Mus musculus: one gene and its partners. The protein of the gene in region 1 purifies or fractionates together with the protein of each later gene. This does not show direct contact. Links are inferred from orthologs where the notes say so. Each region holds a gene or a part of one and is shown on either strand. Other genes may lie near its edges.

The links. Proteins that work in one complex are often made in the same cells at the same time.
Region 2: the proteins of Kpna6 (region 1) and Rnmt purify together in Homo sapiens (co-immunoprecipitation; 3 studies listed by BioGRID and IntAct, counting the BioPlex papers as one, with this or other methods). This does not show direct contact. The link is inferred for Mus musculus from reciprocal best matches to the Homo sapiens genes KPNA6 and RNMT.
Region 3: the proteins of Kpna6 (region 1) and Kpnb1 purify together in Homo sapiens (affinity purification with mass spectrometry; 4 studies listed by BioGRID and IntAct, with this or other methods). This does not show direct contact. The link is inferred for Mus musculus from reciprocal best matches to the Homo sapiens genes KPNA6 and KPNB1.

Annotation. Positions count from the first base shown.
Region 1 is NC_000070.6:129,646,124-129,648,767, reverse strand, and holds part of Kpna6 (importin subunit alpha-7), read left to right. Parts: intron 1-588; coding exon 589-776; 3' UTR 777-2,644. UniProt on the Homo sapiens protein: Functions in nuclear protein import as an adapter protein for nuclear receptor KPNB1. Binds specifically and directly to substrates containing either a simple or bipartite NLS motif.
Region 2 is NC_000084.6:68,310,355-68,313,854, reverse strand, and holds part of Rnmt (mRNA cap guanine-N7 methyltransferase), read right to left. Parts: intron 2,248-3,500; coding exon 2,135-2,247; intron 191-2,134; coding exon 9-190; intron 1-8. UniProt on the Homo sapiens protein: Catalytic subunit of the mRNA-capping methyltransferase RNMT:RAMAC complex that methylates the N7 position of the added guanosine to the 5'-cap structure of mRNAs. Binds RNA containing 5'-terminal GpppC.
Region 3 is NC_000077.6:97,161,552-97,163,892, reverse strand, and holds part of Kpnb1 (importin subunit beta-1), read left to right. Parts: intron 1-378; coding exon 379-540; intron 541-1,211; coding exon 1,212-1,212; 3' UTR 1,213-2,341.

The sequences.
Region 1 (2,644 bases):
TGTCCCACCATCTCCTCCTCCCTCTGAGGAGCCATAGGTCAGTGCTGTTCTCATAGACACCACCTACCTCAAATGTATGCAAGGAGGAACAGGGTAAAATTTGGTTCTACTACCAGGAGCTAGAAGCTGCATTCCAACAGTCTCTCCTGGAAAACCCTGATTGCCTTAACCAACCCATCTCAGATGATTAGCTCAGATGTTAATTAGATGTTAACTAGCTCACCATGATTAGCTCAGAGTTAGCTTGCAACAGAATTTGGTCTCAACCCTCTAGTCAATCACATTGTATATGTGTGTGCAGACCAGAGGTCAGTCTGAGCTATCACTCCTCAGAGTAATCTAGGTTAACAAGCCAACCAGAAAACAAACCCCAGCTGGTTTGTCCCGACTGTATCCTCTTCCCACAACCCCTGCTAGGGTTACAGGCCCCGGCCACCATTCCTGGCCTTGCATCCTGGGGAGTGAACTCAGGTTTTCAGGGCAAGCACTTTACACAAGCCAGGGGTGGATATGTTCCCACTGCTTTTGGTTGGGAACTTGTACTTCAGGAAAGGAGAGGTACAGACCTGTTTTCTTCTTACACCGTAGGCTTGGATAAAATTGAGTTTCTCCAGAGCCACGAGAACCAGGAAATCTACCAGAAGGCCTTTGACCTCATTGAGCACTACTTTGGTGTAGAGGATGACGACAGCAGCCTGGCTCCTCAGGTGGATGAGACGCAACAGCAGTTCATCTTCCAGCAGCCTGAGGCCCCCATGGAGGGCTTCCAGCTATAATGTCTGCCTCCGGGGAGGGGAGGGCACGGGAAGCACCAGCAGCCAGCAGAGAGAGGAGCAGCCTTCTGGTGGGCAGGAGAGCAGCCACCCCACCAGCAGCCCCGCACACCTGCTGCCCCGAGACTGTGCTCTCGACCTGTTCATCCCCTTCCCTGGAGGGAGCAAGCGCCCTCTGGACAGACAGAACCATCTGAGGCTCACATTGGGTTTTGAGACAAGAAGGGGACGTGTGGGTTTCTCTTCCTTACACTATTTTGGCTGCACATGTCTTTAACCCAGGAGCCCAGGGGTAGACAAAGGAGGACTGAGGTAATCAATTTGCACCTTTAAAATTTTTTTCTTTTATTTTCTTTAGTGGTGACTTCCTTCCCAATTATCTTTCTTCATCCATCCCAGTCCTCTGCCCTGACGTGTGTAACTCTTGGGTACTTGAGCAGATGGAATATTCCAGAGGTGGGAGGTGGGAGGGGAGGGGAGAAGTCCCAAACAAAGTGTTCTTGCTCTGACCCATATTAATCTTGTATGCTTGGATTATTTAATTTTTTCTTTTGCACATTTTTCTTGTATTAAGGTTGTTCTTCCCAAAAAGCTGGATTTAGTAACCCAGCCACCAGCATCGTCTGGAAATAGAGGCTAATGGGGAGGCCCCCATGAGACAAAGATCCCTCCCTCCCTCTAACCCTATGCCTAAGACCTCTTTAGTTTGGGAGGATCCCCCTCACTCTCCTGGAGCAAGTATACCAGTGGAGTGGAAGGGAGGGGCACAGGCCTTTAGACAGGGCTTCTCCTGTGTAGCTACTGACCCTGTTTCCTACCCACCTCCTAAATGGTGCGACCCAACTTCATTTGTTTACTTGAAAATTCACCTCAGAGTTGAATGAACCTCTGAGGTGGCTGTGTTTTCTCCTGAGCTTGAGATGGGGGGCTGTGGTCCTTCCTTCTCCTGAGGAGAAAGTCCTTGCTCTGATGACCCCTAAGTTGCAGAGGAGGTTGGAGTTAGTGTCGTGTATCGGGATAGTCATGAATCCCTGCCTTTGGCCTTTCTTCTTCCTTCTGCCATAGCTGGATCATGTATATTTCACTTCCAAAGGAGAGAATGGCAAAAAGTTCTGTTGTTTTTTTAATAGTCTGTATTTTAAGTAGGTCAGTCTTAATTGGTTTTAGGAGGACAAACTGGATGTGAGTGGGATACTGTGAGGAAGACCAGAAAGACGAACAAGTTTCTGCTCACAGGGCTGAACTCAGTCCTTATTTTCTCTGCTTGTATTCTGGGCCACCACTTGGGACCAACTCTCACTTCTGGAACCTTTATGAAGTAAATCAGCTGGGTCTGATTGTTCCCAGCCTGAAGGGAGCAAGGCCTGATGGAGTCTGCTGCTCTCTCTGTTCCTTGCTCCCAAGCAAAAAGCATCCTGCCTTCTCTAACTCACTGTTACCCACAATGAACCCTGTTGGCATCTCCCTTCTAAAGATCCTTGTACCTAGCTTGCATTTCCCTTTCTCCCTCTTTCCCCCTCCCACCTCTCTCCCCCCTCCTCCTCTCTTCCCTCCCTCTCTCTCCCCCTCCCTCTCTCCCTCCCTCCTTCTTGAATAAAGACAGTTCAGTACCTCAGAGGCTGACCTGTTTTCAGGGGTTACACAGTACACTAAAACCAAGCTCTGGGAGCTGGGTACAGTGTCAGCTGGGCAGACCACCTGTGGAGGTGGCAGCACAGTGCCCTGCTGTGGTGATCCCCCACACCCTTAGCCGCTCTCTAGAACAGCACTGTTCCTCCTGTTCCAGCAGATCTCTCTGTGCCCCACATTTGCAGATCTGAAGTTGAGGTTCTTGCTGCTGGCCTCTGCCTTTCCGTCTGCCGTCTCTCCTT
Region 2 (3,500 bases), on another chromosome or scaffold:
TTACTTACATCAGTTCAAAGCTATTGGGAGTGGTGCCAATAAAATAGCCGCCAGGGTTAAGCCTCCCGCAGGCATTTCTAAGCATCGTATCCGCCTGCACCTGGGACTCAAAGGAGTAATGGCAAGCAAACTGGCAGCTGCAGACATCAAAGTACATTTCTGGGTCACGGAATTTTTCAACCAAAAGTTCCTGTAACAAATGTAAATGGGTTAGTATTTTAAACTAATTACAACATAGATTAAAAGTTTTTAGTAAGTTACTAGAATTTAGGGCTCTTAAAGTAGCTGTTCCCTGACAGGTAATCAATAGTTCTCGCCAATCTTTGATTTATTCTTTGTCATGTATATATTATAGCAAGGACCACTTCATAAAAGCATTCTTTCTTACCCTGACCTAAACATCTACAGGTCTGGGTAGATAGCGCAAGTGAAAGTGAGAGGCAGACGCAGTGTGCAGAGCTCCCTGGCCAGCCTCAAGAAACCCTGTCCCAGGGAAGAGGAACAATACCCAATATTCACCAATACCCACCCATCTACTCAGCACAAACATAAAATAATCAAGATTTTGATTTTCATGGTGACCTTTAAAAAGTGGGGAATTCTGAAATCATGCTAAAATATGTCAGGCCAGAGAGATGACTCAGTAGGTAAAGTGTTAGGTCCTGCAAGCCTGCAAGCCTGAGTTTGTGGCCTTGGGAGACATGTAACTCAGGGCACAGCAGGATGTGTCAGGAGCCTGACCATTCTTATGGTGAGACGAGGTGGACACAGGGGAATCCTCTCAAAACTCACAAACCTGAGGTCTAAAGGACAGGAACAAACAAGAAAGGTTTTCCCTTCAAACAAAGTGGAAGGTGAAAACGAAGCTGGAGACCCCTGACTTGCCATGGAAGCTGTGTCACGGATGTACCACCCCCAAACACACTATACGCACGTTAAATAAATAAATAAAAATGTTGCCTAACATTTCAGTTGGTCTTGAGAGCTAAAATAAACTGACATTCAACAGTCACTTGGGTCATTCAACCCTTGGCATCCAAAAGAACCAGTACTTAAGTTTTCACCTGTTAAGCAGCACACACATTTCTCACCCCCGTTTTCAAGGCTGCAAGCAATATATGACTGACTAGACAGGTACTATTTAAAAGCTCTTAAATACTTAAAGAAGATTACTGCAGTTGAGAATCTCAGAGGAACAATGGAAGGTGAAAAGCACACAGTGGTTCTGATCTGACAGGAAGCCGTCCTTATAAACTACAAGGTGAACAAACATGCATTTAAGTCCAGGTCTATTGTGAAATAAAGCAGCCATTCATATCCTCAGGCTCTGGGACAGGGAAGTCAACCAATGATGGATTCAAGATAAGAGGAAAATGTATTGTTTAAATGAATATGTAGACAATTTTGACACTTATTTCCTAAACAGTGTGACGACTAGTTACACAGCATCTTCACTATATTCAGTACCATACTAAAATCATCTAAACAGGCTTTTAAAGTACATATAACTATGTGTATAGTTACCCACAAATATATGCCATTTTATATAAGGGACTTTGAACTTCTGTAGACTCTGGGACTTTAGGGATACCAAGGGATTTATGAATCTTTAAATAGTACCTGTCTAGTTAGTCATATATTGCTTGCAGCCTTGAAAACGAGGATGAAAACAAATCTTGCCCAAATCAAAAAGCAAAAGAGACTTCAAGATACCCATTTATTAAAAGTAAAACTTGTCTAAAAGTATCCAAGGATTTATTATAACAGAATTTGTAATAAATTGAAAATGCATGCCCTAGGATTTTTAATGTTTGTTTCAAATCACAATTTAACAAATGGATCAGTCTTAAAAATGGGAGCTGCAGCAGGTGTGAGAGCCTGCACTTGATCCTGGCACTGTAAAAAGAAAGCATGAGGCTGGAGGGATGGCTTGCTGCTCGTTGTAGAGGACACAGGTTGGATTCCTAGAACCCACTTGGCAGCTTAAAACTGTCCTTAGTTCCAGTTCCAATTCCGATACCCTCATCCGGCCTCCATCGCTACCAGGCATGCATGTGGTGCACACTAACACAAATGCAGGCAAACACTGATATACATAAACATAAACATAAAAATTAAAACTAAAAATCTGTACCTTTGAACAGTCAGCAGTTATAAATTCTGCACTAAAAATATGCTCATTATCGCGACGACATCTCATGTCTTCGTAACGCTGTTGACATTGTTTCATAGAAATATCAGCGATATCTGGCAGGGTAAAAGGAGGAAATGTCAACACGGACTAGCAACTCAGCTGCAACACCGTGGCCTGAGACCCAGGCATAAGATAAGGGAAAGGATGCAGGGGTCTTTCCCTTCCTTTAAATGAAGACCTTGTTTCCTTTTCCTTTGCTCATGTAAATGTTCAACTACATTCCATATAGAATAAGCAGTTTCCCCGTCCCCGTAGAGCTTCCTTGGTAGTACTTATGCAAGCCAAGGCTAAGATGATCAGTTTTATCATCACTATGTGTGTGGAAGTCAAAGGACAGCTTTCAGGAATTGGGTCTTTCCCTCCATCACGGGTTCTGAGAATTTATCAGGCTCACACAGCAAGAGCTTTTACGAACCGAGCCAGGTTTTAAATATTCATTCAAGTATGAGGCAGAAAACTCAGATTCCAACTTGAACTGTAAAAGCTAACAACATCTATCAGCTCATTTTGTGAAATATCAAGTCATTGTTTTCATACTGAAATGCACCTGTTCTCCTTGCTGTGACATTTGCACTTGGGACAGGAAAGCAATGACAGGTAAAGTCATACATGCAGAGCAGTGGCACCAAATGGTACTGTGGAGTGTCCTGAGTTCTTCACTACCATACACCAGCGGGGAAAGCCAGTGTTCACTTAGAACGTCCTCCCTAAAACAGGAGAAGCTCGACCTTGGCTCTGATTCCCATCTCTGAGCATCACCATGGGGATGAGCTGTCTTTTCCTGTCACTAGCAGCACCCAGCACATCTCGGGTTGTGAGCTGACATTGCAGTGTGTTTAAAAAGAGTTACTTGAGCTTCAAAGAATGGCTCTTGAACTCTACCACACATGTATTATTGAAGATGCACAGGGTCATTTCAAGGGACACAATGGATAGTGCTTATTGCCAGAGATAAAATTTGACTTTCAAAAAAAAAAAATCACAATTCTGAGGAAAAAAAAATTTCTATCAACCACCTTTGTGATTGGTGATAATATTACGAAAATGTGATTTCTTGGTGTGAGTCACAAGATAACTTCAGCAAACAGTACTTTCCGGGTATTCTGAAACCATTCTGAAAATATAAGACAGCCCAATGGGTCTGAAAGTAAGGGACTATGCAGTGCTTGCCAGGAGGTCCCACATCTAATCCCCTTACAGATCCCACACCTAATTCCCCTTACAGAATTACTGGCTGCCTGACTTCTCCCCAAAGATGAAGCTACAATTATCTGAGAAAGGCTAACACCACCTTTCATTTACAGCC
Region 3 (2,341 bases), on another chromosome or scaffold:
TGGGTCCTGGGGATTTAACAGCAGGCAGCTTTACCCACTGAGCCGGGGCTACCATATAGCTCTTCTGAGACCCTGAGGCTATACTGGGACATAGCTTTACAGCTCAAAGGCCTAGTGCAATTTCCCTTTTTTTGAGAAGGTCTTGCTATGTGGCCCGTGTTGACATTGAATTCATGATCCTTGTCAGCTTCTTCCTTGATTTCTGACATTACAGGGTTGTACCATCACACTCAGTGAGCTACAGCCTTGGGCAAATCTTGAACTGATTTGCCCAATTGATTCCAGAAATCTCTTACAAACAATTTTTAAGAAGCGAATGGATGCTAAGAAACATAGAGTTGCCTCACTCAGTCATTCGTGGGTGTTTGTTTTGCACAGGGACTTGTGTACAGCCTTCGGGAAGGATGTACTGAAGTTAGTAGAAGCTAGGCCAATGATCCATGAACTATTAACTGAAGGGCGGAGATCGAAGACTAACAAAGCAAAGACCCTCGCTACGTGGGCAACCAAGGAACTGAGGAAACTGAAGAACCAGGCTTGGTAAGCTCTTGTCTGCACTCTCAGGTCTCAGGAGGGTTTATGTTCTATAGGATTTCTAATATTCGCTGCCTACTGGTATTTTGGCTACACACTTTTTGGTACCTGTGTTTGAGCAGGCAGCCAGACACAGCCAGACAAATATTTCTAAGCCATATATTTGAGTCCTTGTGTTGAACGACAACACAACTCACTGACCAAGACACTGAAAATACTTTGGAACCTAATAAAATGTTCCCATATTTGTTCTCTTTCTACTCCTCCATGTCCTTTTTTATTTGTGCAGAGTGGAGGGTCTTTTTGTAGTCTGCTAGCCTAGATACTGCTTTGTAGATTAGACTGGCCTCAAAGTCAGACACCTGCCTTTGTCTCTCCCTCCTGAGTGCTGGGTTTAAAGGCGTGCACCTCCGTGTATGTATGGCCTTGCATGACCATTTATTTGCTTGGTTTCTGGAAATTGAACTCAGGACATCACAAATTGAAGTAAGCACATTTACCACTGCACTACAATATATGCTTATATATGGCAGCAGGTATACAGAACAAAGGAAGAGAAGAAAAATAATCAATCTTTAAGACTTGATGGGTCCCATTTTTAGCTTTGGGCTACTTGGTTGTAGGAGTTGGGGATACATATGACCTCAGAGTTGACCTCTTCGTCCTTTTGTTTTTAGATCTGGTACCACTGGGATGATGACCTGAGACCCCCACTGGAAATCTCCAATCTTTTGAAAAACCCGGAAGTGAGGAGTGTGCACGGATGCTGAATGCTTGGGAATGAGAGGATGAGTGAGTGAGGCTTGAAAACACCACACTGAAAATCCTGCCACAGCCAACAGCAGCAGCGCTGTTAGACATGAGCTAAGTAAGCACTGAGTTTGTAGAAAACATAACATCAGCCATCTTGGAACAGAGAAACAATGGATTTACTTACTTATTAAAAACAAAAAAGCTGTCTCTTCCCAGGGAAGGCTAGAACTAGCTTTCCTGTCTTGGCCGGTGCCGAATGGGTGACTGATTTGGGAGAGGAGGACCTGGGTTCACCTGTGGGGCTGTGTTGTGAAAGGCAGCCTGGCCCCTGCTACTGAGGAGAAAGATGGAGCCCGGGTCTTGAGCCCACCTTCACTGTACCGTTGCACTTGGTACTGTCTATGTGCCCTTGAGAAGGCGCGTGGGGGATTTCACAGTCTGAGAATGAGTGTGTGTGAGTGAGGCGGTACCCACATTCTCAACTTCAAGTCATTGCAGTTTCTTTTTCCCAGAAAACAAAGGGGTTTGATGTTGCATTTCATAAACTAACTGAAGTTCTGGCTACTGATGCAGCACAAGAGACGTGTTTTTTTTTTAAATGAGGAAAGACGCTGTTTAGGTTTGGTTTGGTTTCATTTTAATTACTCTAGGGAAAACACTGACGAATGGTCAGCGCTCCTGTCCTGATCTTTTCATCAAGGCGCCTTTCCTGTACTATGGTTCAGCTGTGAATGTAGCTATGGGGGGAGGGGGGAGAAAGGAGAACTCTGGAGTTAGAGGATATAGAAAATAAAAGTACAGTTGTTACAAAGAAAATGCAGACTTCAAAGACAGAAAAAGCCACAACCCAAACCAAAATTTAAATGCTTGAAATTGGCATCATAAACAAGCTCTCTCCTGACTTGTATTGTGGCAGTCGGAATGCCCCCAGAAAACTGTGCCAAAGAGTTTAGAAAACAAATGTACAATAAAAGTAAATACACTCAAAACCGCAAACTTCAGGTAACTATTTTGAATTGCAAATGACGAAAATTTAATGTTGAACGATCTGATA